Diceros bicornis minor: one gene and its partner. The protein of the gene in region 2 interacts with the protein of the main gene of each other region in a pairwise test. Links are inferred from orthologs where the notes say so. Each region holds a gene or a part of one and is shown on either strand. Other genes may lie near its edges.

Region 1 (15,949 bases), on a different chromosome or scaffold from region 2:
ACCCCACATGACACTTAAGCCCTAGCTAAATTCATCTTTGTATCCTGCAGAGTTCTAGCCCAATGCACATAGTAGGGCCCAATAAATGTTGGATAAATGAATGAATTCCTATATTTCCTCTCTCTCAACCGCTCTCTTGGAGAACAGCTTTAAATCACAAATAAAAAGATCACTTCTGTAGTATTTCAAAAAGCCGGCCAGCTAGTTTTCTTTTCTATCACCAATATGGTAACTTCTAATGTCCCAGCATATAGTAGATGCCTAAATATTCAGCGATTTCAACTGAATTTCATCGCATTTTTAATTTCAGTTATCATTTTATTCCTTAGGATCAAGTATGACTCAGCCTTAGAAACAGATTTTAGTTTTTACCTGCCCACAAACTCATCTGCCAATTTCTGGCCATCCTGACCCTATCCCAATATGTCATGTATTGGTTTAGGAGAGAGAATATTTAAAACCTCAGCAAAGTAAGAACCAGAAAATCAAACACCTATAGGGCAATAAAAGTAAATGAGCAAAGCAAGAGAGTAGTGAGAACCATGCAGAGAACTAGGAAACAACAGCCCACCTAAAAGCTTTAGCTTTTATTGTACTGCTATGAGAGAATATGGGCTTGGTGGTGACAGATCTTCCAATTTTTCATGGTAAGTCAGAAACTCAGAAATTTGTGTAAATTTTTAAGACATTAAAAATATTGTACTAGCCAAACAAAACGTGTCTGCAGGTCAAATCTGACTATAGGCTGCCAGTTTGCATCCTCTGCTACAGAAGTTCTCTGCAAAAGAAGTGATGGGGTGGGAGGAGTTCCATTCCAGCAGACAGTCTAAGGCAGCAACTAAAACTAAAAGCAGCAACTTGGAAGCATCTCCTGCAACACTAAGCCTAGCTTTCAGCCATTCCATTTTGACCTGAAAACCAAATTAATTCTACAATTGTGTCGAGCATATTGAGCCTCTCTTCTGTGCCTGGTGCTGAGAATCAGAAATGTACAATAGCGCTAAATAACACCTAATATCATTAAGCATTTTCTAGGTGCCACACTGTTCTACTCATGTTATATGAATTAACTCACTTAATCCTCACAACAATTCTACGAGATAAATACTATTATCCTTATCTTAAAGATGAGGAAACTGAGGCACAAAGAGGCTATGCAACTTGTCCAAGGTCACACAATTAGCAAGCAGCAGAGCTGGAATTAGGACCTCAGACAGACTCCAGGAGAAAGAGCTCACAATTTGAAAACAAATACCATTCAACAAATGGTGCTGTGATAATTAATCATATATAGGAAAAAATAAAACTGGACCCTACCTCACACCACACACAAGAGTCAATTCCAGATCGATTAGAGATCTAAACATCAAAGGCAAAGCAGTAGAGATTCAAGAAGATAATATGAAGAATAACTTCAAAATCCTAGGGGAGGAAAAGACGGATAAATTTGACTTTATTAAAATCCAAAACCTCGTTTTAACAGAAGACAACTTAAAGAAATTAAAAAGATTAGCAACAAAATGGGAAATGATATCTGTAATACGTATAATCAACAATGGATTAATAATCAGAAAATAAAGAAATCTTTTGAAAAAAACAACCCAATAGAAAAATGGCAAAACAAGCCCCAGCATGGTCTAAGCTGTGAAAATCTGGCGTTACCACAGGTGCCATATAGCAGGCCCCAGAACAGGAAACATTGGCATCACTGACCAATATAAAATATTCAGGGGCCTGTCATGTTGCAGGTACACAGAGCATGGGGGATCCAGCCAGAAGGACAGAGCCAAAATGATTATTCTCCATCGTATCAGAACTGGATGGCAAATCAGAAGCTGAAGATCGAACATTTGGATACATAGATCATCGATCAGCAAATGTTTTTGGTAAAGGGCCAGACAGTAATTGAAGTATATATTCTCTGTCACAATTACTCTCCTCTGCCATTGGTAGAGAAAAAGTAGCCAAAGACAATATGTAAATGAACGAGTGTGCCTGTGTTGCAATAAAACTTTATTTACATGAATAGGTGGTAGGCCAGATTTCACCTATGCCATAGTTTGCCGATCCCTGACACAGATAGCGGTGATTTTCCTACACTCTAGGAATATTTTCCAGGTCTTTCACTACCTTTTATGTCTGCTGATACTTACTTCCGATTTTCTTAAGCAAAAACTACACCACACTTGACAGCATTGCAATGGTTTCCAAAAGTCTATTACTCTACCAAAAAATATCTCCTCCCTTATTTTCTGTGGCAATTCTTACCTCATTTTCCTTTCACCTTTTTTTAACCTCTTTGACAGCCACCATCCCAAACTAGAAATCTAAAAAATTCCCTTTCTCTCTCACCATTCACAATGTCAGTTATATCAATACCTGAAAATTCTAACTCTGTTAATACTTCACAGCCTCTGTCTTAGTTCAGGCCCTCATTACTTCTTCCCTGCTCTCCAGTCCACCCTTCTCCAAAGAACATCCATTTATCTCCTAAAAATTAAACCTCACCATACACTCAACTCCTTGAAAACCTTGAATACCTCCCTATCAGCTAATGATTCAGTCAAAACTCCTTAGCAAGGTCCTTCACAACCAGATTCCAAACCACCTTCCCAATCTCATCTCTGACCACTCTTACACCCTTACACACAGACACACACACACACACAGTGTGATCCAGTCACATTCACTTACATTCCCTGAAAATGCATGCCTTTACCTGGAAGGCTTTTCTCTCCAACTCTGCATCTAGCAAACTCTACCTTTCAGAACACATCTCAAGCGTCGCCCCTTCACAAAACCTTCCCTGATTCCTAGAGCAGAGACATGCCACCTCTGTATCTTTACAACCTTTGATAACTCTCCTTTGGCATTTACCATCTTGAACTATCAGTGTTTACATGTCCACTTCTCTCATGGGATTGAATATCCAAGGTGAGAGGATCCTGCCATAAAGACTTTTGAATCTCCAGAGCCTAGCATAATGCTTGACATGCAGTAGATGTCTCAGTGCACAGTAAGTGTCTGTTGAATGGAAGACATGCTTGGTGGTAGAAGTAGGGTTTCTTAACCTGGGGTTCATAGATAGGAGTCCACAGATAGAATTCAGGGTGGGGGGGTCCATAAACTCGGATAGGAAAAAAAAATTACCTCTTTATTTTCACTAAATTCTAACTGAAAGTCACCATTTTCTTCAAATATGAATGTAGGCAACAAACCATTCTAGTATTAGCAGCATCTATGACTCTGTCACAGTAATCATAGATATCTTTATATCATATTACAGTTGATGCAGATATCTTAAAATATTATTTATGCTCATCATGTCTTTTTTTTTCCCCCCAAAGCCCCAGTAGATAGTTGTACGTCATAGTTGCACATCCTTCTAGTTGCTGTATGTGGGACGTGGCCTCAGCATGGCCAGAGAAGCGGCGCGTCACTGCGTGCCCGGGATCCGAACCCGGGCCGCAAGTAGCGGAGCACGCGCACTTAACCGCTAAGCCACGGGGCCGGCCCTCATCATGTCTTTAAAATTGTAATTATCAAGAGAAACAAAAGAAAAACTAAACAAGTGGGACTTCATCAGACTAAAGAGCTCCTGCAAGGCAAATGAAACCAGGATCAAAATGAAAAGATAACCCACCAGCTGGGAGAAAATATTTGCCTATCATATATCCGACAAGGAGTTAATCTCCATAATATATAAAGAACTCACACAACTGAACAACAAAAAAACAAACGACCCGATCAAAAAATGGGCAGGGGCCGGCCCGGTGGCGCAAGCGGTTAAGTGCGCGCGCTCCGCTGCGGCGGCCCGGGGTTCGCTGGTTCGGATCCCGGGCGCGCACCGACGCACTGCTTGGTAAGCCATGCTGTGGCGGCGTCCCACATAAAGTGGAGGAAGATAGGCACGGATGTTAGCCCAGGGCCGTCTTCCTCAGCAAAAAAGGAGGAGGATTGGCGGATGTTAGCTCAGGGCTGATCTCCTCACAAAAAAAAAAAAAAAAAAAAATGGGCAGAGGATATGAACATTTTTCCAAAGAAGATATACAGATGGCCAACAGACACATGAAAAGATGTTCAACATCACTAATCATCAGGGAAATGCAAATCAAAACTACACTAAGACATCACCTTACACCTGTTAGAATGGCTAAAATCACCAAGACAAAAAATAACAAATGTTGCGGAGAAAAGGGAACCCTCATTCACTGCTGGTGGGAATGTAAACTGGTGCAGCCTCCATGGAAACCAGTATGGAGATTCCTCAAAAAGTTAAAAATAGAAATACCTTATGATCCAGCTATCCCACTACTGGGTATTTATCCAAAGAACTTGAAATCAACAATCCAAAGACGCTTACGCACCCCTATGTTCATTGCAGCATTATTCACTATAGCCAAGACGTAGAAGCAACCCAAGTACCTATCAACAAATGAATGGATAAAGAAGATGTGGTACATATATACAATGGACTACTACTCAGCCATAAAAAAAAAGACAAAATCATCCCATTTGCAACAACATGGATGGACCTGGAGGGTATAATGCTAAGCAAAATACCCCAGACAGAGAAAGACAAACACCGTATGATTTCACTCATATGTGGAAGATAAACTAACACACAGACAGAGAGAACAGTTTGGTGGTTACTGGGGGAAGCAGGTTGGGGGTGGGCACAAGGGGTGAAGGGGTGCATTTATATGGTGATTGACAAACAATAATGTACAACTGAAATTTCGAAATGCTATAAACTATTATGACATCAATAAAAAAATTGTAATTATCAGACTCATCACTAGATCTGATTTCTTAATGTGCTGATAAAGAAGTATCTCTATATTACTATATCAAAATTTGTATATTTTGGTAACTGTATTTCAACATAATTGGTTTTCTTTGTAATCCAGTGTATTTTGTTTTATGCAATTAAAAATATTCTGAGAGAGGGCCTGCACAGTGGTGCAGCAGTTGAGTTCACGCTCTCCACTTGGGTGGCCTGGGGTTCGCCAGTATGGATCCTGGGCGCAGACCTACTCAATGCTCATCAAGCCATGCTGAAGTGGCATCCCACACAGAAGAGCTACAACTCTACAACTATGATATACAACTATGTACTGGGGCTTTGGGGAGGAAAAAAAAAAAATTCTGAGAGAGGCCCATAAGCTTCACTAGATGCTAAAGGGGCCCATGGCACAGACAAGGTTAGGCCTTCTTGCATTAGAAAGATCCAGAACAAATGAATCCTGTTGCTGTATAAATGTATGGCATATACGTATTGAATATACTGTATATTGAAAATCTTATTGCTATGAACGTCCTCATAATCTTTTTGCTGAAAGTCCTTTTTGATTATATGGGAGCCCAGGAACTACTATATCATGACTGATTTGCATAGTTTCCCTCAGAACTCTCTCATAGCCCATATGAACTTTGAACTCTTCTCTATCATGATCAAACCTCAATTAAAGTTTGATCATGATAGAGATCCTAGGTCTCTACCATTGTTCACGGTTATCTTTTTAGGCTTTCTGTGTCCCTTTGCTGTGTAGTAAACACCTAGAAGAGAAGGAGCCTCTCTTAAAACTCTAGAAAGTTAGAAGTCACAAGTGTCCTGCAGATAATTTCTTGGCACAAATGGAGGTGGGCTAGAAATTATCAAATAGCTAGTTACCTATACTTTTTTGTATCCCCCTCAGTCTTTGTACTGACAATCTTATTACAAAAACAAAATTAATTAATAGTTCTTTGATCTATACTGCCATGATTGACTTCACACTTTTTTCCCAACTAACAAATTCCTCTAAGGTAGTATATGGAATGAGGAGGCAGCAGACCCCCTCTGCCACTAATCGGTAAGATCCTGAGAAGTCAACTTTTTCTTTCTAGGTCTCAGCTCAAGTCACTACATGATCTGAAACTGTTACAGGATCCCTAAGACCCTTGTAGTTTTTATATATTCACTCCTCTTCATCATTCTTACTAGCTTCAATAACGCCTTTCTGATGACCTCCCCAGGTGACCCTGCTCTTAAAACAGTGGGCTGTCCCCTTCCTGGGAAGACACCTTGGGTCACCGCCCACAAACAGCCCAGTCCCTCCTTTTAAAGACACACAAACTCCCTAAGTTGATGGAGGTTCTCTCTCTTCTTGCCAACCAGTTCCACTCTCTGCACCCCTTTTGCTACCAGCTCCTTCATCCAAACCTCAGCCCTCCTTCTCCCCCTTCCTCATCAAAGCCTTCCTTTTTCCTGTTGCTCTCCCCAGCAGGGAGTGGAGGATCCTCGGGGCACCTATGTCCTCAGTCCCTTGGGAGTTACACGGACTTGCAATCCAGCCCCGCGACTCCGACGACTGCCCCAATCTGCTATCCTCGTCTGTACCCAAAGGGCCCAATTTCTAACCAACACTCTTCCCACCACCACCAAAGAAGTGTCCCCAGCCCTGACAGCTTGAGTTTGGACCCCACGCCCCTCCGGGTCCTACCTGCTCTGGGGTCCTAACACTGCCCATAGCCTAACACAGCTCCCGGTCCTGGTCCCCCAGCCCCACGGACCCCGATCCCGTTTCCGTGTGGACCCAGTGTCCCTTCTCCGCGACCCCGGCCACGACCCCACGTCCGGCTCCCGCCAGTACCTCGGGCCTGGAGCGCCACCCCGTGCAGACCCCGGCCGGCCTTGCACTCCCTCAGCGCCCCGGACCCCGCGTCCCGCACCCTCCCCAATCCCAGCCGGGCCCCCGCTCCCTCCAGCGCCCCCGCCCGCAGGCCCCGGGCCCGCTCCCCAACATGGCGACGGGGACAGGAGCGCGGCGGGCGGGGCGGCTCCGGGCCGGGCCCGCACTGGGGCCGTGCTCCACGGTCGGCCGGCGCCATTTTCCCGCGCCGGGCCCGGGCGGCACCTCCTTCCAGCGGCGCCAGCCGGGCTGGGACCGTGGACGCCCGGTGGGCCCACCCCTTACGGGCCCGCGTCGCCGTCACCTCACCTGAGCGCGGCCCCAGCCCTCCCGGGCGGGCCTCGGAGCACCGGCCGGGGCCGTGCGTGCCCGCGGCCCTCCGTGTGTCCGTCCGTCCGTCCTCGCGTGCGCCCGTCTCTCCGGCCGTCGGCGCCCGGCCGCCCGCAGCCCGACCCGGCAGGGCCTCGGGGAGCCGGCGGGGAGGGGGATGGGCCGGACCGGGCCGGGGAGGGAGGGGGAGGGAGGGCGAGAGGGAGGGAGCGCGGGAGGGGCGGGGCGGACCCAGAGGCGGGGCCCTGGGTCACGTGACCAAACGTCCCCGGGAGCGCGCGCCCGCTCACTTGGGTGCAGAGTGCTTAGGGCCGGGATCCAGTGGATCTCTGTATGCCGCCTGGCACTGTAATATCGGCGGTGGCTCCTATCCTCACTTGGGAAGCTCTGCACAGCCCTATAGGAGCCCTCTGGCTGAGTGTCCTTGGGCAAGGCAACTCTCCAACCCTCAGTTTACCCATCTGAAATATGGGGATAATAATAGCGCTTGCGAAGAGGAAATAAGGGCATGGACAGCCTTTGGCACAGTGCCTGACACATAGTGTCTAATAACGTTAATGGTGATAAAGATAGTTAACCTTTATTATTATTATAAGCTCCTCTCTACTTTTCCCATTACCGTCAGGCTTGCAAGTTCAGTGGGTGCTCAATAAAATAATTCTTGCGTGAACAAGGGAGTGCGGCCCCTCCCCTCTCCCCAAATGTAGGGAACCCTCACCAGCGCTGGGCTTGATACCTGTCATATAGGCCTGGATTCAGATCTGGCTTTCACTCTTGATAGCTGTGATTTTCTTTTGCATCTGAACCTCAACTTTCTCATCCCTAAAATGAGAGTTAAGGATCTGTTATGAGCATCACAGAAGATAGAATATGAGCAGGTGGATTGTAAACTGCACAGCTCAGGCATACTGGTCTCATCTACAAAAAGGAGTCTGGAGTCCTGTCCTTCCACAAATATTTATTTGTGTGCTTGGACTGGTGCAGTAGCTATCCATGGCCTTTTCACATCCTCCTTGGTTCCCTGCAATCTATTCTTCATCCTGCTGTCAGAGTATTATTTCAAAGTCAGAAATCTGATCATGTCCCTCATTTCTTTAAGACTATTTGATGGCTCCACATTGCTCTTGAGATAAAGGCCAAATAAATATCTTACTGTTGCCTTCCCACATCTTCAGACTTCTCTCAGGGCCCTCTTCCACTCTCTCTAGACTGTAACTGCCATCATCTTCTTCACATATTGTACTGCCTCCCTTCTCAGGACCCTTGCACATGCTGATCCCTCTGCCTGAAATGCTCTCCTCCGTCAGAGATAACTCAACAGCCTTCAGATCCCTGCTCAAACATGGATACCCCAAGGACACCTTCCCTGACCACTCCCCAGGCAGATTCTCATACTTGTCCTCATTAGGAGGCACTAGGCTGTTTATTCCTTGTCTTCACCACTAGATTGTGGACTCCGTAAGGAAGGAGACTTTAACCATCTTGTTTGCTGCTGTTTCCTCAGCACATAGCACAGTGCCTGTCACAGAGAAGGCCCCAATAAGTATTTGTTGTTTTGTGTGAATCCTGGGCACTGTGCTAGGTGCTGGGCCCAAGAGGGCCGAGAAAAATTAAGAGAACCACAGGCGGCCACAAGGGGGCACCTCAGGCCTTGGAGCCTGTGAAATTAACACCAAAAGGATTTATCAGAGCCCAGAAAAAAGTTTTTTTTTTTTTTATTGATGTTTTAATGGTTTCTAACATTGTGAAATTTTTGGGTTGTACATTTTTGTTTGTCCATCACCATATATATGACTCCCTTCACCCCTTGTGCCCACCCCCACTGCCCCTGGTAACCACAGTCCAGTTTTCTCTGTCCATGTGTTGGTTTATATTCCACATATGAGTGAGATCATACAGTGTTTGTCTTTCTCTTTCTGGCTTATTTCACTTAACATAATACGCTCCAGGCCCATCCCATGTTGTTGCAAATGGGACGATTTTGTCTTTTTTTATGGCTGAGTAGTATTCCATTGTAATATATACCACATTTTCCTAATCCAGTCGTCAGTCGAGGGACACTTAGGTTGCTTCCACTTCTTGGCTATGGTGAATAATGCTGCAATGAACATAGGGGTGCATAAGCCTCTTTGGATTGTTGATTTCAGGTTCGTTGGATAGATTCCCAGTAGTGGGATGGCTGGATCATAGGGCATCTCTATTTTTAATTCTTTGAGGAATCTCCCATCAGAAAAAAGTTTTTTTAAAGCTTTTTCTTTTAACTTTTAGAAAGCAAGGTATAATTAGCATACAGCACAATGCAAACGTCTTAAGTAATAAATTTTTACCTATGTTCTTGTGTTACCACCAGCCAGATCAAGTTACAGAACTATCAAACCAGAAAGTTCCTTTTATTTCCTCCAGTATGTGCCCTCCCAGTCAATACTTGCTCCCCCAGAGATAACTACTATTTTGACTTCTAGTGCTGTAGATCAACTTTGACAGTTCTTGAGCTTCACATAAATATATAAGCACATATTCTTTTGTGTTAGCCTGGAAATCTGATCTATCCAAAGAGTGACTCTTTGGATAATGATACAATTAATGAATTATTTGATTAATTAATTAATCTGAAAGACTGAATGAGAAACTCTGGTTATTTCATCCTCCAGAGACAAGGGTCCTGCCAGAAGGCAGCCCAGGGGCTGAGAAGACATCATCCACACAACTCCAAGTCTCACAAAAATTTCTAGAGGTAAGAAAGCTCTGAAAGGCACTGGCCTGGTGGCGCAGTGGTTAAGTTCGCACGCTCCGCTTCGGCAGCCCAGAATTCGCGGGTTTGGATCCTAGGCTCGGACCTATGCACTGCTTATCAAGCCGTGCTGTGGCAGGTGTCCCACATATAAAGTGGAGCAAGATGGGCACAGATGTAAGCTCAGGGCTAATCTTCCTCACAAAAAAAAAAAAAAAGAAAGGAAGCTCTGAAAGATTCTAGAAACTCAACAACAAAAATCCATTTTAAAAATGGGCAAAAGACTTGAGTAGACATTTCTCCAAAGAAGACATACAAATGGTCAATAAGCACATGAAAAAACATTCAACATCACTAGTCATTAGGGCAATGCAAATCAAAACCACAATGAGAGCTATTATTAAAAAAAAAAACAACCAAAACACAGAAAATCACAAGTGTTGGTGTGAGGATATGGAGAAATTCAAACCTTTATGCATTGCTGGTGGGAATGTAAATGGCGCACCAGCTGTGGAAAACAATTTGGTGGTTCCTCAGAAAGTCAAACATAGAGTTACCATCTGATCCAGCAGTTCTACTTCTGGATATCTACCCCAAAAAAAGTAGAAGCAGGGACTCAAAGAGATATTTTTACACCCATGTTCCTAGCAGCATTATTCACCATAGCCAAAAGGTGGAAGCAACCCAAGTGTCTATAGACAGATGCATGGATAAACAAAATGTGGCGTATATATACAATTGAATATTATTCAACCTTAAAAAGAAAGGACGTTCTGACACAGGCCACAACATAGATGAACCTTGAAGACATTATGCTAAGTAAAATAAGCCAGTCACAAAAGGACAAATATTATATGTTTCCTCTAATATGAGGTTCCTAGAGTAGTCAAATTCATAGGGACAGAAGGTAGAATAGTGATTGCCAAGGGCTAGAAGAAGGGAAGAATGGAAGGTTCCTGTTTAATGGGTACAGAGTTTCAGTTGGGGAAGGTGAAAAATGTCTGGAGATGGATGGTAGTGATGGCTGTACAACAATATGAATATACTTACCGCCACAGAGCTGTACACATAAAAATGGTTAAAATGGCAAAATTTATGTTATATATATTTTCCCACTGTCAACCTACAAAAACAGAAACCAATTTAAGAAACAAAGCATTTATTTGAGATCAAAGAATGGCAATTTGGGGAGCACAGATTCAGGTAGAAACCCAAATAGTCTCCCATTAACAGGAGAGGGGCTTAGGGTTTTTATGGGAAAAAGGGAGGATGAAGTGGACTATCTTTTTTTAATTTTTTATTTTTATTTTTTTTTTTCCCCCAAAGCCCCAGTAGATAGTTGTATGTCATAGCTGCACATCCTTCCAGTTGCTGTATGTGGGACGCGGCCTCAGCATGGCCTGAGAGGCCGCGCGTTGGTGCACACCAGGGATCCGAACCCCGGGGTGCCAGCAGCGGAGCACGTGCACTTAACCGCCAAGCCACGGGGCCGGCCCCTGAAGTGGACTATCTTAAAGAAGAGTTCATTGGTGCTGGATGAGGTGAGACTAGGTTTGTACTTTGCCTGAGGGTCAATCATCAGGCAAAAGGCTACATTTGTACGTCATTGATTGGTTAGCTATCCAGTCATCAACAAAGTCCAGGTCCATCAGTTCTTACAGACAGGATATTCTTGTCCTTACTGACTCCTTGGAATGTTGGTGGTTTGGTACAGTTTGGAAGATAAAGAAAATCTGAAATGGCTGCTCTGGCTCTATTTTACTGTGGCTCCACTCCTCAAAAAAACATGCCAGAACCTGAGCCACCATCCTCATTTTCTCACCTTGTTATCCATTCCTTACCCCAAAGGTCATAGGGTTTCCTTGGATTAGCAAGGATGCAGGAAGCTAGGAGACAGGGGCACCTACACATCCGGTAGGTGAAAATAGCAGGAGCACAGGCAACATAAATGTTTGTTGCCCACAGTAAGGCAGCAAAGGAACAGAAACAGGCCATGAACTGGCACTAAGACGAGCACAGCGACTACAAAATTGGGCTCTGATGCCAAAATACCCAAGTTCATATTCTAGCTCTGTCACTTATTAGCTTTGTGACCTTGGGCAAATCCAACCTCCTTGTTATACAGATGAGGAAAGTGGGACCAAAAGAAGAAAAAGGACTTGTCTGACAGTGTCCAAAGTATTTTCTCCTTTTTATTTTGTTTGTATTTAAATCCTTACACTCCTTTTATTTTGTTTTGTGTCCCTAATAGACTGTAAGCTCCCCGAAGAAGGTATTTTTGTAATATTATCACTTATAATAGAACTTAACTTTTTAGTGCTTCAGTTGCCTCATCTGTAAGGTGCAGATAATAAGGGCACCTTACAGATGAGGATTCGTTAAATAAGTTAAGTGAGTTAATAGAGGATTAAGTGAATTGGTAGATATAAAATGTTTAGAAGAGTGCCTAGCGTTTGTGATGACTCAACAAGAAGCAGGTTAACATAGGCCTCTGAAGAGGTTCTCAGGCTGTTTCACAGAATATTTTGAGCAAGAAAAGCAGTCCTAAGATATTCATGATTGTTCTGGATTCAGACTTGGGTAAAGAAAAAGAAAATTAGTTGTTCTTTGATATGAGCAATTTGATTAGCATTTATTGGACTTCAACTTTCATATGTTTGTCCAAATAGGCTTAAGCTTTGCAGTGATAAAATTGATCGTGAATACTTGAACCATGTCTTTAAGAACAACATCAAACAGGAAAAAAAAGTAAGAACAAAACCACTTGAAGAGCGTCAACATTCTACTGTCTGCGGGGTCCATCACAATAGTGTCAAACAACAAGGTTACCATATTTAGTTGGGCAAGTTGTGTCTTGCAGGAGGACATCACATCTAAGTGGGTGCCAGTCGCTGGTAGACAATGTAATTTATAACTTCGTTGTGATAATTTACCACTAGATGGCAGTAAAGTGCCTCATTATTACAAAATCAGTTCAACAATTTTCAGACAATAGGAAATAAAGTGCCTTGAAGAAGGGTCACTTCTACTTTGCATAAAGGCTTAAAATGGGCAAGCAATGGCTTGCTCTTAGGAAAAAAAGATTGAAAAACAGAAATAGAATAATAACTACACAACTGAAAAAAATTGAAGAGTATCAAGAAGTGACCAAAAACAAAGCAGAAATATTCTTAGGACTTGAAAATGTGTTTTCAAAAATATTCTGAAATTTTAAAACTTTTTATTGGAGTATAACATACAGACATAAAAATACACAAATCATAACTGTAAAGCCTGATGAATTTTCACAAAGTGAACATCTAACCAACATCCAAATCAAGAAATAGGACATTACTAGCCCCACAAAAGCCTCTTCATGCCCACTTTCCAATCATTACCAACACCCCTGAGGGTAAACAGTATCCTGACTTCTAACTCCATAGATTAGGCTCTCTAGGTATTAACTTTATATAAATGGAATCATACAGAAGGTACTCTTTTGAGTCTAGCTTCTTTTGCTCAATTTTATGTTTTTGAGATTCATTTATATTGTTGCATTATATATGTTGCATTATATATATTCATTTATATTGTTGCATTATATATAGAACATTATATATGTTCCTTTTCATTGCTGTGTAGCATTTCATTATTTGAATATATCACAGTTTATCCATTCTACTGCTGATGAGCATTTAGGTTTCCACTTTAGGTCTATTTTTAATAGCATTACTGTGAACATTCTTATACTTGTCTCTGGAGGAACATGTGTACAATTTTCTGGATTTTTACCTAAAACTAGGATTGCTGGGTCACAGGGTTTGCATATCAGAGTATATCAGCTCTAGTTGATATTGCCAAAACCCATGTCTTTTTTTGACAGCTTTATTGAGATACAATGCACATACCACACAATTCACTCATTTAAAGTGTGTGATTTAATGGTTTTTGGTATAGTCACAATAGGTGCAACCATCACCACAGTGAATTTTTTAGAACATTTTCATCACCTCAAAAAGAAACTCTGTACTCTTTAAATACTGCCCTCCTCCCGGCCCAGTGGGGTAGTGGTTAAGTGCGCGCGCTCCCCTGCTGGTGGCCCGGGTTTGGATCCCGGGCGCACACCAACACACCGCTTGTCAAGCCATGCTGTGGTGGCGTCCCATATAAAGTGGAGGAAGACGGGCACGGATGTTAGCCCAGGGCCAGGCTTCCTTAGCAAAAGGAGGAGGATTGGCATGGATGTTAGCTCAGGGCTGATCTTCCTCACAAAATAAATAAATAAATAAAACATCAACATATAAAACATTATAAAGTGAAATGCTCAAAAATAAATAAATAAATAGATAAATAAATAAATATTGCCCTCCTTTCAACCCCTCATTCTCCCATCCCTAAGCAACCACTAATTTGCTTTCTGTCTCTATAGATTTGCCTATTCTGGATATTTCATGTAAATGGAATCATACAATATGTGACCTTTTGTGTCTAACTTCTTTCACTTAGCATAACGTTTTCAAGGTTCTTCTATGTTGTAACATGTATCAGTATTTTGTTCCTTTTTATTGCTGAATAATATTCCATTGTATGAATATACCATATTTTATTTATCCATTCATCCATTAATGGACATTTGGGTTGTTTCACATTTTGGTTTTTGTGAATAGTGCTGCTATGAACATTCATGTACAAGTTTTTGTTTGAACACCTGTTTTGGATTCTTTGGTGTATATCTCTGGGAGTGGAATTGCTGGGTCCTATGGTAATTCTATGTTTACCTTATTAAAGAAATGAAAAAAATTAATGATTTAATGATAAAAATCATTAAAAATTATTTTTTAAAAATTATTATTATTATAGCCAACCTAGTGGGTGTGAAGTGGTATCTCATTGTGGTTTTGATCTACATTTCCCTAGCAACTTATGATATTGAGCATCTTATCAGAGACTTATCGCCCATTTGTAGATCTTCTTTGGAGAAATGTCTATAAGTCTTTTGCCCATAATTTAATTGGGTTGTTGAACTGTCAGTGTTCTTTATATTTTCTGGATACTAGACCCTTACCAGATTTGTGATTGCAAATATTTTCCTCATTTTTTGGGTTGTCTTTTCACTCTCTTGATAGTGTCCTTTGACACACGAAAGGTTTTAATTTTGACGTAGTCCAGTTCATCTATTTTTTCTTTGGTTGCTTGTGCTTTTGGTGTCATATCTAAGAAACCATTGCCAAATCCAAAGTTGTGAGAATTTACTCCTATGTTTCTTTCTAAGAGTTTTATTTTGAGTTACTTTTTGTATGTGGTGTGGGTAAGAGTCAAACTTCATTCTTTTGTAAGTGGATGTCCAGTTGTACCAGCACCATTTGTTGAAGAGACTATTTTTTCTCCATTCAATGATCTTGGCACTCTTGTCAAAAATCAATTGACCATAGGTATATTGGTTTACTTCTGGACTTTCAATTCTATTCCATTGATATGTTTATCCTTATGCCAGTACCACACTGTTTAATTACTGTAACTTTGTAGTAAGTTTTGAAATCAGGAAGCTTCATATCTTACCCAAGATATGAAGGAAATACCAAAAATATCCAATTGAAGAAGCAAGTAGCTATATCTTTGGGTTATTTGAGGCCTGAGGGAATATCATGAAAACTCTTTAAATTTCCAAGCTTCTTATTTCTTCATTTCATAGCCAGCAAAAGTTAGGTTCTTAATGTGAGGTGAATTTTGTTTTCTATGGTAGATCAAGGTAGTACAATGTAAATAAAGTAAAAGTGATTAAGACTATAAAGTCCAGGAGAGCAAGGACCTGACTTGTTCACCAGTGTGCCCAGTGCCTTGGGCAGTGCATGGCACAGAGTAGACACTTTAGAAAATATTTGTGAAATAAAATATGATATTTCACATACTGAGTAATGAAACAGATTTTACTAGATATCAGAATTTTGTTTTAATATACAAGAATTGTTCCATTGAAGAAATCTTTTATTAAAAGGTCTCATTATTTGTATATTTAAGAAAGGAAATGACCCCAAGGGACCACATGACTCTCAAAAGCACGCTGCATGGAAAGTCCTGTAACTCCATTACTTGAAAGAGAGCCTAGGAGAGTTGTTATGACCACAGGTGTGGCTCAGGCACCTAAAGATATCAGGCCAAGGATATTCAAAGTTGCATTGGAAACCACCCAAATATCCATCAATAGGAAACTGGTTAAACCCTTCAATGAACTATG
Region 2 (15,737 bases):
CTCAAGGTTCCTCCATGTTGTCGCATGTATCAGAATTTTCTTCCTTTTTAAGACTGAATTAATATTCCATTGTATCTATATACCACATTTTGTTTATCAAGGAAGGGTTTTAAACAGAGATGCTTGAAAACATTTACAGAACCATGGAAATGACCCAGGTTAGAGCGAGTGGTTGAATGTACGAGAGACCTCAGGAGTTGGTAATTAGGTCATTGGTAACCATTAGATGGCAGCTCCAGGACTGACAGTTTTGTTAGGGGGCATTTATCCCTCAACCTGTCCTGAAACCATCTCTCCTATTTCAATCCACCTATACATACACCTGCTCACTGTGCTTATGTTTTCAATATTGTACCTTGGTGACTATATTTTAGTGCATTGTTTTGCTATATGATCTGAGGCTATCTTCTGTAGCCTCAGATCATATAGCAAAGACATTTAAAGTACTTTAACAACACAACTTAAACAGTATACATTATAACAATTGAGAGCAAAATACAGTAACACGCAAAACAAGTTGTATTTATGTGTAATAAAATGTAACCTGGAGGTAATAATCACATTTTATATTTATTGAACTCTAAAGAAGAGTATAAGACAATAAGATGGCTTACCCAATTTAATAAATAAAAAGTACATCCAAAGGCTAGTGTGGCTACCACGGTGAGGACACCAACTTTCTTACACAGAGTACTGCTCAAGGTAAACTTATATCAGGATAAATTCAACACTCTCAATTGTCAAATGAAGATTAAATTACATTCAGGAAATTAAGAAGCAGGAAAGTAGTGAATTTTAGAAGAAGAATTTGAAGAAGAGACTTCAACTTAAAACTCAATTAATGAAAAACTCAATTAAATTGCTTAAACAAAAAAGCATTCTCTGAACATTTTTGTCAATCAAGATTTTACTGAATTTCATGTTGTCGCAACTTTACATTGCCCCAAAGAAATGTATTTAGCATTTTAGCATAAGGAGCTCAGCAAAGCCAACACACCAAACTATCAGAAACCACTGCTGTCTTTCCCTTTCATTGGGCCTCTTAAAAACATAAAGCTTCTACTGACATCAAGTGATGAATATAGTATGGAAATTCATGAACTTGAAACAACACTTCCCACTATCCAGTTCGAAGAGGAACACACAATATAACATGAATATGACATCTCGCTCAGGAACAGAGAATCAATCCCTTCACTCATTTTCACCTACAACTGAAATGCTCATTCTTGGCCTAGAAACGCTAAAATGACCTGTCAGACACATGTCACCAAATGGCAAATGCCAGGATTCATCCAGGCAACCAATCAGGTGCTATGGTGACTTTGCTTAGAAAATACAGATTTTGCATATATACGCCAAACAACTTCTCTAGAATTTCCATACATGTCCAGTCCAATAGTAATTAATGTGAGAGAACTGGTTGCTGGACAGTGATGAAAAGGCTGTGTTGCTTTTTGGTTGGATATCCTTTAGATGTATCCAGATTTACGTGACTACTATTTGTCAGTGGCATCTTAGATAATTAGTAACTTGTAGCCAATGCAAAGGGTTTTCCTTCATAAGCGAAGACACAACAAAGGGTGATGCACTGAAATCATTGCAGTAGGCCTGAGAGATAGGTGAACAGGTAGCAAAAGGGATGTCTTCTCCACTAGAGGTTTATAAAGTGAAAAACATACCTGTTCTGGTTACTTGAGTAGTCCTCCTCTAAAACAGCAATATAAACTGGTTGAAAGAGAGAATCCCCAAAATGAACAAATTTCTTCAACATCGTAGGACAGGATTTTCCCAGCACATTCGCTTGAACACCCGAGCATCAGTGACCACACTATCTGGGACAATAGGGAAACAGAGTCTCCACACAGTTTAACTGTTGGGCCTGGCAGGCATGGAATTTCTCCTGGCCAACAAAAGGACACGCACCCGGACATCCTGATTCTGAGAGTTAATCATTTCTTTGCATGTCAGTTTTCTTTAATTAGTCACCGTAGCCTACAACAGTTGGCCCATATCCTTCGTGATGAACTGCCCTTGTCTCTATTCAGAGACTTCTCTCCTGTCCCACCCCCCAGCACACACACTTGTGTTGAACCCTCTCCGGTCACGTCTGCATTCAGCGGGAAAGCTTTTGGTACACACGGATTATACACAGTGTTCTAACACATTGGCCGGGGAACACATTATGGCTCTTACACAGAAAACACGTTTATAGAATTGCAAATATTGATGGTGATTCCTTGGAGAAGAAAAAGGAAGGCCCTAGAAATGGCAGAAAAACACTCCCGACAGAGTAGACTGATTTTATCAAAGTATCTATCAAATCTAATTAAAGACCAAGAAGACAGTCCCCAGCAGGACTGTTTTTAGTATATTCTGGCCCAGTGGACAGAGCAGTACATGGAGTCCTAGTCCCAGCTCCGCCTGAAAGCCAGGCGATCTTAGACAAACCACGTGAACTCCTGAGCCTCCACATCTTCTTCAGTAGAAACAGGACCTAACATGGGCTGCACCTTTTCACGTGCATGGAGCTTGAAGTGAAATGATGTATGTGAAAGCATCCTGTAAGGTATTATTACATATCCAAGAGGATGAATGAAGTCGTCTATTGGCATGCCACTGAATACACCTCTAGTGTTGGGCAGAATTTCTAGACAATTTAAGTTAAAATACCTTTAGGGCCACCCTGAAGACTTTTGCCTCCTAATCTTACTTTCTTAACTCCTATTTGACAATCCTTCACTACCAGTCCAAATAGCTGGGCTGCTAGTAGCCTGTTACCACTGTGTGGAGCACAAAATGCCACATTCTTCTTTTGCTGTATTCTCAAGCCTGCCCATCACACTTCCCCAAGCATTCAGTTCAAACACTCCCATTTGTGTGTCCCACAGAAGTCTATCACACTCACAAAGCAGACACTAGAAGGAATTTCATGGAAAAGATAAATATTTCTTAAGTGTCAAATATCCTTGATGTGTGTGACTGTTTGCCAATCATTGGCCTTAAATGTATCTTTTCTAAAACAAAGTATCAATGCTCTCTATCAATTTAATATTAATTAGGAATAAAGAAAACCACTTGAAAATCACCATAGAACTGTTCATTAATAATCAATTGACATGCAACTCTTAAGAACATGGTACAGCTATCTTCCAAAATGAGAAAAACCTAATTCCCCTAGTAGCCCACTGGAGTTTACTGAGCTAGATTGGAAGCAGAATTTCAAAGGCTTGAATAGAGGAAGAGGACAGAGCCTCTTCCTCTATTCCGTTATGACACGCTAAGGCAGGGGTATGGGGGAGAAGCCCAACAATATTCTCTCATCAGCCAGTCTCTGCTCCTTCCCGATACCAACAGTCAGAGACAATGCCCCACTCTTAGGAAAGGGAACCATGTTCACATATTCATTTGGGGCAGGGTGGGAGAGAGTTGTAGGTGAAGAGATTCAAGAGGATCTGACCAATGCAGAAGTTAAACTGAATATAGTCAACTCCCAGTCCAGTCCTTGGTCTGACAGTTGAACACAAAACATTTACCAACAAACGGTTGCAGTCCTGCTTTGAGGAAACATACACAAGTCCAGTAGTCTGCCTTTCCAAGTGACCCTCACTCAAGGACACCCACACAAATATTCCCTGCTAAAAGCCCTTAATTACGAAGAGCTGTAACAGTTCCGGCTAGGAACGCCAACTACGCACTTTGCTTGTGCCTCATAAACTTGCCACTCTGCATAGCCTAGTAACTGCCATGTCTCTGAAAGGTAAGTTGCATATTTAAAATATAGGTTCTTGTTTTTCACAGCACAAAGGAAAAAGACATCATCTGACATATCTTTATTAGGAGTGCCTAAAAATAACAGTCTCCTGTTTACTAAATTGAACAATGTATTAAACAGTAAAGAACATTAGTTTACAAAAGATTGTGCATCTGTGTTCTGCAAGAAAATCTAGATTCCAAAGCATGAGCACAGAAATGAAAAAACCCTGACATCTACAAATAAATTGGGCACAGAACTTAGCTCCTGTTAAGAAGAATATTTTAATTTAAGCAGTCACAATCATTCTATATTTTATTGTAAATGTCTCCAAATTGTAATTTTCAATCACTCTTTTGCTCCTCACTATTTGATAATATGTAATTTTCAGGAAACTTTCTTAATCCCAAGTATAGTAAAAGTATTTTTTAAATGCCAAGATTATAAAGGAACAATACATTCTATTAATATTACATGAATATTTTTAAATGACCTTATATTTCAGTTTGGGATAACTAATGATGCCTATCATAACCCAAGGCTTAAACTAGAATGGAATATAAAATTGCTAAGAATTAAAACTATTAGCCCAATATGAATTTAACACTTAATTCCAGTCTCTAGTTTCCCATTTGCAAAATAGCTTTCTCTTTGCCTTAATTTACCCCAAATTATACAGGATTAAAACAAAAATACCACAACCTGACTCATTCCATCAAAAAGGAGGAACCGAGGTTTTCTTTTGAGAAGAGCAAAGGAAGATAATTATTTCTAGGTAAAAAAATACTGAGGAGCAAAACTATAAAATCAGTGAACAGCTCAGTGATTTCCAGGGGTTGGGGTGGACGGAGAGGGTTGAATCCAAAGGCACAAAGGGGACTTGGGGAGTGACAGAACTGTTCTGTCCTGATGATGGAAGTGATTATTAAACTGTGTGCAACTGTCGGAATTCATAGAGGGGTTCACCTGAAGAGGCAAGATTTTACTGTATGGAAATTATACTGTAGTAAGTCTGACTTTTCAAAAATGCTATTATGTCTAGAACAATGTGCTAGGCACTGAATTATGAAGTCTAATATTCAAGTATACATTTCTCAAGGGTTCTAAATGTAATTATCAAAAAACCTACCAGTAAATGATTCAAGTTCAGCTTTCAGTGTTTTATATATTTTATTATTTATAGATATTGTATAAAATGACTCAAAACATGAACTAAAACTATTACAAGATGTATTTTGAATACACACAGAAAATTGCACTGTCGTATTCTTAAAAATGGACATATCAATATCTATTAAATGCTAATTATATTTTTAAGAGTTGAATTGACTAAATTTTACCTATTCCATATTATAAATAAATTGAGAAATGTAAAAGGTGATTAGATTCATTTGAGTCCCTCAGAACCACTGTGAAATCTGTCCTAAATATGTTTTTAATTGATTTCGAAGATTTATAGGTCTTAAGTGTTATAGGAGACTGGCTGCAAGAATGTTTCACTAATTCAACTGAAAAAAAATGCTTGAACATAAAATAGAATCCTAAGATTTATGCTTTAACACCTATTGATGAACAGATCCTTACATTTTCCTTCCTGTCAAACGTATGCAGAAACATATAGATTTTCTACAGAAAAAATGAGTCAAAGAGTCATTTTTTTTCATAGTCACAGTGCATTTACTTTTTACAATACTCACAGCACAAACCTTTCCTTTCACATGTTCCCTTTTTCAATAACATAGTTCCCCACACACAGAGGAAAATAGCCACTGTGGGTTTAGAAACTTATAACAAAAGTAAAAATTCCTAACAGAATGCCCATGTAAATACTAGAAATCTAACAAAATAAGGCAGATGCTTTCCTCCAAAGTGTTGTGTACCACACCAAAGCACAAAGTTGCTTTTTAAAAAGCTAGTAAAATTGAGTCAACCTTATTTTCCTAAGAAATCCACTCAAATCCAAAGTTTTGTTTTTCACAAAAATAATATTCCCTTCACTAAATTGTATACTTCCAATATGAATTGGCATGAAAAGTAACACGAAGGGTCAAGAGAGCAGCAGGCGTGTTTCTCTTCAGCAAATAAAACAGACCAGATCTTAATTTTGCTCAGTCTGCCCAGGAAAGAAGTAATTCTGCTTTTTGATATGACTTAGGAATGGCAGTTACTACGTTTTAAAACACCGGTCACCTGCCTGTGATACATCTTCCCAGGCCCAGAAAACTCAAGCCTGAAGCGCCTGGTCCAACTTTCCCACTGTCACACTTCACCCATTGTCGTGAAATCCACAGAGAAAATCCAGAGGAGTTTTTTCTTTTAAAAAGACATGGATATTAGCAAAATCATCTCGGAGATTTCAAACAGAAAATCAAGAGAATTAAATCACACCTCGAGCAAAGGGGCACTTACCTTGCAGGTAAACACTGGCCTAGCAATCTCTGAAACGCGCACATGTGCTTTTCCCGGAGTAGTTCTGTTCCCCGCACCCGGCCCGCGGCCACCAGCTGCGGACACTGCGCGGACCTCGCGCAGCCCAGACCCGGATCGCCAGCCTTCGCCCGCAGCACTGGGATGCCCGTCGCAGCCCAGGATGGCCCTTCCTGCCCGGTTCCCGCGCGTCCTCTCCACCCTGCAAGTTTCCAGAGGCGGTTCTCGCAGCCTCAGCCCTGCCAGCGTCCTAGCAGCCGGGGCGAGGGAATGGGTGTCACCAGGGACAGCAGCTGGAGACACTGCGAAGATCACAAACGACTTAACGAAGAGCCTCTTCTTCCTTTTAAAGACCCAGGAGGCGGGCTGGGGAAAAAAAAAAATCCAAGAGCACACGTGACCACCGAGCCAGCGGCACGGAGATCTCGGAGGACCTGGACTCCTGCCTGGCGATCCACACTCACCTGCGCGAAGGCGGAAGCCCCAGGGCAGGGGCTGCCACCCTCGAGCCCCTCGCAGTCACCTCAGGGGTAGCAAAACACAGCTGGCATCTCTTCCCTCCCCCGCCCCCCGTCTCCGATTTAGGTTTAGGGCGGTGCCTGAGAATGTGCATTTCTGACCAGGTCCGGAGTGATGCTGAAACTGAAGCTGCCGAGCTCGCGACCACACTTCGAGGATCGCATCCCTAGACCCTGACCCACGTGGGTCTGAGAGGGGCTGGATGCTTCATTAAATACACAAGTCTGACTCTAAGAATCGAGTGGTGAAACCAGAGAGGATCTGGATTTGCCCAATCCCCAGCAGCCAGCGCAGCCTCGTGCCCCTGGAAACGCAAAGCCACGCTGCCAAGGTTGGAGGTGGAGGGTGTGGGTTCTCAGCTCTCAGGGGCTGACTGGGAGGGCCTTTTCGCGTTAGAGCAAAGGTCCTAGGAACCTCCTCAAACTCACCTCCTGCCAGGAAGCACCCGGGGGAAAATCTGCGGCTCCGGGGTGGCGGCGCCCCTCTTGCCTGGTGGCGCTCGGTCGAGCTCAAGCCGCAGGGAGCGCCCCCTAGTGGCAGTTCCAGTTCCCCCGGCTCTGCAGCGTCCCCAAGCTCTCCTCATCACCGCCCCCGCCCGCCCCCCGCAGTAGCCCACAGTGTGATGATTAGGACCATATGGCTGTCGTTAAGAAGCAATGGGCTTTAGAGCAGCCGTTGATGGCAAAAATCGAAAGGAAGGTAGCAGATGTCCCATAGGCAATTGTGAGACCCCTGTGCCACATTTGTGCCTAATCCGTCATCAAACTATCCATACACATGGCATAAGGGACATGGTTCTTGATGTGGTTGTGACTCTAGGTCTCTGGTAGAGGAAGACCAAAGGGGCATTTGGAGGGAAACTTTTATAGTGCCAGCCTCTGGTGTTGGGGTTTAGCCAAAAATAGCTTGGAGGGACTCCAGCGTTCTCTGGGTTTACAAGAGGGAGGTCCACAGGTGCTGGAGAGGCTCAACTTTATAAACAATGGTTATCAGAAACCTCTACCCCCTCCTCCCAATTTTTCATTAAAGCCAAGACTCCTGGATTCTCTCAAGTTGTTAAGGCAGTTTCCTGATCCATGAGGCAGAGAAGCGAGTTTGGACAAGAGGGTGTGTAGCTGACCAGATCCACCGCTGTGAAGGACTGTAGAGGACAAGATGCTTATCTCTGCCAGTCTCAGCTTCCCTGTTCCCTCTCCTGGGTATCTCTCCAAGTACCTAGTCCCCATAACAAGTAGTACTTACTTGTTAACAAGATACCTCTGGAATGGAAATTATTATGAAGGAATTTGTCATGAGCCAACAGGCAGACAAAGATGATGTGCAGGTGAAGAAAACTGACGTCTATCAAGTATCTACACCGTTCCAGAGAATCAGCTAAGTGCTTGCACAGGTAAGATTGACCCTACTTTTTAGATGAGGAAACTGAGGCTCACAGAACTCGTATCATCCTCCTGAAGCCACACATAGTAAGACAGGAACCCAGCAGCAAAAATGGCCTTGTGAACAGCTACCACTTGTTGGCACTTAGCCACACTCCAGTTTCTGCATGTTGTCTCATTTTATACACAAGACTATGAGGTAAATTCTATGATTAATTATCCCCACTTTATGGTTGAGAAAATGGCCAGTCAGTGGCTGAGAAGGACTTGAACCCAGGCCAGAGCCCAAGACTCTGTTTTCTTCCATACCATGACTGCAATCAGTCGGAAATGAAGATGGCTTGAACGTCAGGACACTGTGTCTCCTGCAGACAAGCCCCATCTCTAAGCCTCCTGCCCCCTGTGAGAGAAGCTGCTGCTCAGCCCCGGAACCAGAGCTCCGTGTTTGCTGTGCTGCTTCCTTCAGAAGGCGTTCCACTCATGGGAACAGCATGTTCTCTTTTTAAAGACCCTCACACACCCACAGAAGCTGTTTGTTCCACAAGGAAACCTGCTTGCAGGAAATACTAAGCAAAGAGAATGAATGGGAGTGAGTACGTTTCCTTCTGACTCACCCTGTGGTTGGAGAAAAATAATGCCACCTGAGGGATAGAACCTTCGCCTGGTTTAATGCAGTGAGTGGGGAGGGTGAATATTCCAACTCTCCCTGAACCATAATCAAAACTAAGAAGAGGGCCGGCCCCGTGGCTTGGCGGTTAAGTGCGCGCGCTCCGCTGCTGGCGTCCCGGGTTCGGATCCCGGGAGTGCACCGACGCGCCGCTTCTCCGGCCATGCTGAGGCCGCGTCCCACATACAGCAACTGGAAGCATGTGCAGCTATGACATGCAACTATGTACTGGGGCTTTGGGGGAAAAAATAAATAAGTAAAAAAAAAAAAAACTAAGAAGAGATTCTTGAGACAGTTAATACCACGGCTAGATCAAAAAGCACCCTGAAATCTAGTGTTGAGGGTTGTGCCTCTGCTCAGCAGGGTCCCAGTCTCATTTCCGCCTCACTCATGACCTGCCTAGGAAGCACCCACGTGGTGTGACATCAAAAGGCCTTCCTCTCCCAAAATACCCTACAACAGGGACTGAAATCCTCACCATTCAGCCATCCTTTGGGGTTAAAGCATTGGATTGTTAAAATTCAATCATGTTATATATGATGGGTCATATGAATTTAGTAGCATTTATGATTACATTAATGAGATGAGCTTGCAAGATGAGCTAAATGTCACCTGGGAAAACAAAGGAAGCCAGCGTAGGACAGGTACATTTTGCTGTAGGAGGAAGGCAGCCCTCTCCATCAGGGTGCATCTTCCTCATCCTCTCGTCCTGCCCCTTCTCTGTCTGGTGAAGTCTTACCCATCCCAAAGCCGAGAGCCTGAGTAAAGTGAAGACCGCGACAGCCCAGCAGAACATGCACACTGCTCCCTGCACACCGCTCATCCTACCTGTCCACACTGCCTGTGCTGTGACTGTACAGTGCCCATCTTATATCTCCAGCATCCCACACGGTAGCATTAGTACCCATAGCATCCACCTAGTATAACCCAGGCATTCAACAAATACCTGCTGGAGGCTTCCACTTGGAAGGATCAGAGGGAAAGGGGAGGGATTTTCTGTAGCAAAGAAACTACTTAGAGGCAAAACAAACAAATAAAACCCTGTAGAAGGCAAGAAAGCAAAAGCTGATGTGGAAAAGTGGAGGGGAGGGAGGATTCCAACCAATGACTAGAAGAGTGTCACGCTATAGGATGGCTTTGGAGTGTTACTCTCTCTTCTGAGCCTGAGGCCAAGTGGGAGGATTCAGGTCCTGGGATGCTCTTACCTGCTCCCGAGTATAACAGGATTGGGCTCATTCTTCATATCATGTGGGTATAAATCGGTCTGTTTTAAGGGGATGTGAGGGATGAAACCCTAAACTTAAGGAATTAATGAAAGAGGAGAGAAAAGCTTGTTGCACCTGTAATAACACCTTTATTTGATGGCATTGGATTGGAAAGGTGGGATTACTAATGGGATAGGTCAGAGGTTATCTCAGCTGCTCATAAACCAGGGTTCATAAAACAGAATTTGATATTTGAAAGTGGAATTTGGGTAGAGCTCTTTAGGACCATGTCTTTTGTGGAAATAAAAATGAACCTAATATTTATGCATCTTTCCAGCCCAGGCGCCACAGTAGGCAGGCTTGCGCAGGTTGGTTCATTTTTCTTTCATTTAATCCTCATAACTTCCCTGTGGCTGTGTCTGCTTTATAGACGGGGAAACTGAGGCTCAGAAAGATGACGTTTGTTTTGTAAGGTCACCCGTGTGGATGTGCAGAGTGAAAGTGCCAACCCAATGTTGTTTACCTACCTGCTAATCCCTGGCTTTCTCCGCTGTTACCCTGTGATGCTCTTCTTGTTTGTTGTGTAAACTGGGGCATATTTGTCCTGTAGAGCCCAGATATTGCTGAATGAAATTTTGCCAAGTTCTTGTCTAGGCATGACCACCTGTGTGCATATTTACATAACAATCTTTACTGACGAGTGTTTGGAGCCCTTAGTAAGGTGACCAAGGACATAAGCAGTGAGATAGACCTAACCTGACACCTGGGCACCCAGACCACAGGACAAGGTTACTCTGACCTGCAGTGGAAATGAACCAGCTGGGCAGCAAGGATGTCAGCCAGCTCCTTACAAGTCATCCTTCTTTGTCCCAGTCTTGACATTTGCAAACATACAGGTAACATAACTTTTTATCCTGTCTACTGCTCCTCGAAGGTACTTAAATTCTACACAAATCTCTTGCATATCTTGAGTTTCTAATTTTCTCTTCATTTGAAATCAAACAACATGAAGAATATACATTCTTGTCCTCAGTCCCAACTCTGATTGCAGCAATTCTCTCTTGAGCTAGAAAAGAAACTAGCCCCTGGAGGTCACTGGCATCAATGTGAACACCCAGTTGAGAAAGAAAATGTTAAAGAACTGTTAGAAATGGTGGCAAATTGTAATATTCAATTTCACAAATGACTCAAATGCAATTCTGGAAATGCAACTTTCTTACCTCTTCTGGCACAGAATAAGATAATATTAATAACAGGTCAGACAGTGGAATATTCCCAGAAATGAGGTCAACAAGGAGATAGGGTATAGACAGACATAGCTTAAGAGGCCACGGATTCTAATAAGACTGATTCCATAGAGTTTAGAATTCAAAAAAGTTGACTAAAGTTTTTTCTACTTCTCACAAACGTATTTGACATTGTCAAGTTCTTCATTCATATCATGGAAAGTTACTAGAAATGTCTCATATTTTCCTTTAGACCCATATCAACTAACACTCCAGTGATGCACATTGCATTAATGGCTTTATAAACATACAGACCCCACCTTTTGTGTACAGAGAGAAGGTGCTCCTTTCACATATGTTATTGCTTGATCTGATGAGCCTAACCAGAGAAAGGAACGGTCTTCTCCATTATGCAATCCCCTCTTTTGCTGGGAATTACAGCCAGGAAGTGAACTTCTCCAAGCAGTTCACACAGCTTCTGAGATTTCACCAGTGTTGTCCAGTGTACTAGGATCTCTGCATTCTCCCCTTTTTCCTCTTCTTTTTACATCTCCACTGTCCGGGCAGTTTTGCTCACTAATCCCTCCTTCATGGTTTTGCCCAACTTCAGGCCATATGCTTCCTTAGCCTGCTCCCACATGATCTACCATCCACCAGATACAACTTACTAAGAGAACTGCTGCCCTAGGATGACATTGACTTTTACAATTAACAAAGCACTTACGTGGCCAGGCCATGCTTCATTTTTTCACCAGCTCTGTGATGTTGATTTTATCCCCATTTTTCAGATAAGGAAATTTAAGTGAGTTCTCCAGATTTACAGTTATAGAAACCCAGGTCATCTGACTCATTATGTACATCCATAACTGCCTCCTGGGGGAAATTCATTTCCTGCGTTCCTGGCACTGGGGTCTCTGCATATCCGCCATGCTGCTACTGCTAGTATCCACAGGCTGTGTCAGCTGACCCCATCCCTTCCCTCTACCCTTCCCACCCTATCTCAGTCTAAAGTACCATTGGAGGGAGAAACTTACTGACAGCTTCTTGAGTTATTTTCACCTTAAAATTATTCTGACATTCAACATTACATTATTCTTTCATAAAACAGTCTTCTTTGAGAATGCTTCTTGCCCTCATGCATTTATCTCTTTGTGAATATGCCCCCTTAATGCTGAAAAACAATAATGCTTTAAGTGCCTACCTGAGACACAAGAGAATGTGAAGGTGTCTGCTTTCAGATGAGGAGGAGGAGGAGGAGGAGGTGACTGACATTCATGCAGCAATTGCTCGTAAGCCCTTTATCCGCACTATTTCATTTAATCCTCAAAACATCTCACCAGGTAGGTACTATTTATGTTCCCATTTAACAAATGAGGAGACTAAGAAAGTTTAAGTGACTTGCCCAGTATCACACAGCTAGTAAGAGCAGAGGGTTCAAACCAGACCTGTTTCACTCTAACGCCTGTTCTCTCTGAACTGCTGATCTCCCTAAGGCTTTAGACTCCTGTAGAGGAGAGAAGCCAAATGCCTAAGAAATGATCTACCATACCTGTTAGAAATGATAAGTGACTAACAAATGGTGGAAATTGGGAGTTTTTGGACATTCAGAGGATGAGAAGTTGCTTCCCTGCATGTTTGGGTTCCTCTTAGAGAGTGATTTATATTAACCCCCAAGCTTGAGCTTGTTACCTGAGCTGACTGAATTTCAGACATGAGGATGCTGGTCTCCTCTGGTGTCTCCTCTGAATTCTGCAGGTGCGCAGGCCCAGCACTGCATTCCCTCCCTTGGAATCCCTCATTCTCCACTCTGCCTCTGGAAACTGCAGTTGCCGCCCAGGACTTCTGCAGACAGGAGGAGAACACAAAGGCACTGGTGCACGCAGGCCAGAGGAGCCCAGGATGGAGCCAGGCTTGGGGGTCAGGGGGGCGTAGGGATTTTCAGACCAACCACTTACCAGTTCTATGCCCTTGAACATTTTCCTGGCCTCTTCGATCTTCCTCTGTAAAACAGGAAAAGCACAAGAGTCTACTTGATAGGATTGTTGTGAGGATGAAAAGAAAGGATGAATAATAACATGGCTGACACCTGGTAAATTCTCTATAAGTGAGAGCTTTACAACAACCCAGCAGTTCTTGGAACAAAGGGCTACGTGGATGCAGGGAAGACTTGGCCTGGGAGAGGCCGAGGGGTAGGTTTCCTGACTAGGGGTGTCCAGGCTGTGAGGGTGGAGGAGGTAGTAGAGAAAGTGAACACCTCGCCTGGAGCTGGTCCTGGAACTCGGCATACATCTCTTCAGGCAGGCCCAACATGCGGTGAGTCAGAGAAAGACCCACTGACATGTGACCCAATTGTAAGACTAACTTAGTGTTTCCCCACATTCCTGGAGCATAAAAGTCACCTGAGCCACTTGTTTAAAACACAGATTCCCAGCCATCTCCTCCCCAGCAGGCTCTGCACCAGTAGCTCTGGGGCAGGTCCTGGAAATGTGCATTTTCCACAAGACACTGGGTGATTTTATGATCAGGGAAGTTTGGGAAACACTGCTTTAAAGTGTTCAAAGTGCTTATTTGTCCACTATGTAATGGAATCTGCATAATGGGTGACTTATCATCCCCATTACACAGGAAAGGTAATTAAGGCCCAATAAGGCTCAGCGATGTGCAGGAGCCTGCTCTCACTGGCTCAGGAGGGCTGATTGTTAAATATCCAACGAATTTGTAATTCAGTTATTAAACCAATCGTAGCTTGAAATTGGCCATGTGAGTAGTTACACTACAGATTTCTCCTGGCCAGAGAGGAGCTCAGAGGGCTCAGGTCAGCTTCCTTCAGAACACAGGGCAGTGACTGATGTGACCACTTCTCGGCTGCTCTCTGGTTTGTGGTTCATGGCTCACTCTAAATATTATCTTTTTCTCTAGGGAATCTGTAAACACTACATACACAGCAGGACTTTTTTTTTATTGAGGTAACATTGGTTTATAACATCACATAAATTTCAGGTGTACATCAATATATTTTGACTTCTGTATAGGAGGACTTTTTATTGAGCTGGTTTATTAGCACACTGCCGAGCAAAGGTGATTGATCTGTCTTGCTGTTAGTAACTGAGCGGAGTTCACCTGTGTCCTCACTCCTAGCCCAGGGGCTTTCTCCTCTTGCAGTTAACTTCCTTTATCATCCCTAGAACCTCCTGCCCTGGGTAGATTTATTATTTATTATTATTTATTATTGTTGGTTCAGATTTTCTAGAGACTCTAACTGTTGGCTTTACACAACAGATTCATGTCTCCCTCTAATGGATGTGAAAGAATAAGACAAGTCAGATTTCGTTGTTAAATCAGAGGGCTTTGTATGATTTATCTACATTATGTGTGATATGTGCAATGTGTTGAAACAATGTATGGTAGCTTATTCAGCTAATTTCTAATAGCAGCACAAAAGCGTCCTTTTGTTTTCATTCATTCACTATTTCATTCATTCAATATTTATCATTTACTTAACTATGTATCAGATGTTGAGGTATAAAGATATGAATAACAGCCTGCAATGGCAGAAAAGAATGAGAAAACTCGCTATATACTGAGATGGAAAGATTGCCAAGACTTATTAAGGGAAAAAAATCAGAGTATAGGATGGTATGACTAATATGCTACCATTTGTTTATAAAGGAGGAAGAAAGAATACACATACACATATTCACATAAAATATCTCTGGAAAGACACAAAAAAAAACCTATTAACATTAGCTGGTTCCCTTCTAGAAAGGGAACAGAATATCTGTAAAACAGAGATAGGAGAGAGTTTTTACTGTATTCCATTTGTATTTTTTCGGTTGTGAACCATGTGAAGATATTTCCTTACAAAAAATAAACAAACATTGAAAATTAATAAGACAGAAATGAATGAGGCAGGTCCTACATTCAGTTACACAGGAGGAAATCCACATACACATACAATACCGTGAGATCAGTGCTGAGTTAGAAGTATGCAGTGTGCTAGTGGAAGCAGGAAAGGTCATCAGAGGCCAGGTCAAGGAAGACCTTCTATTCCAAGCCAAAGAGCTTTTGCTTTATTCTGTAGGCAACAAGTAGAAAGTAACACGTAGATTCACCTTGTAAAGGATCATTCTGGAGGCAATGTGAGGGGAAGATTCAAGGACGTCTAGACTAGAGCAAGGTAGAGTCAGACCCCTGTTCAGTAATTTTCTTGCTTCAAAGACCTGTTATCTAGAGTCAGAATGCCTCAGGGTAAGAAGAGAAATAGGCTTGGTTGAGTTTAGGTTAAAGAGGATATATGGAGTCTTTATTCAGATGATTTGTTCTTGGTCTGGAGAGGAAATTATCCAATAACTAATTTACTTACAGTATGCTAGGCATACTAGCAAGTACTTAACGAATGACACCTCATTAGTCCTCACAATCATCCTATAAAATAGGTCCTATTATTCTGCTAAATTTTACAGAAAAGAACACTGAGACACAAGCAGGTTAATCAACTTGCCCAAGGTCAGATAGTACTAAACTCTCAGATGGATTTGAGCCCATCTGTCTGAATCCAAA

The links.
Region 1: the proteins of ESR2 (region 2) and NCOA6 interact in a two-hybrid assay, tested with the Homo sapiens proteins (3 studies listed by BioGRID). The link is inferred for Diceros bicornis minor from reciprocal best matches to the Homo sapiens genes ESR2 and NCOA6.

The regions. Positions count from the first base shown.
Region 1 is NC_080758.1:24,784,240-24,800,188, reverse strand, and holds the start of NCOA6 (nuclear receptor coactivator 6), read right to left. Parts: upstream 7,149-15,949; 5' UTR 6,984-7,148; intron 1,423-6,983; 5' UTR 1,318-1,422; intron 1-1,317. UniProt on the Homo sapiens protein: Nuclear receptor coactivator that directly binds nuclear receptors and stimulates the transcriptional activities in a hormone-dependent fashion. Coactivates expression in an agonist- and AF2-dependent manner.
Region 2 is NC_080763.1:13,369,104-13,384,840, forward strand, and holds the start of ESR2 (estrogen receptor beta), read right to left. Parts: upstream 6,481-15,737; 5' UTR 6,164-6,480; intron 1-6,163.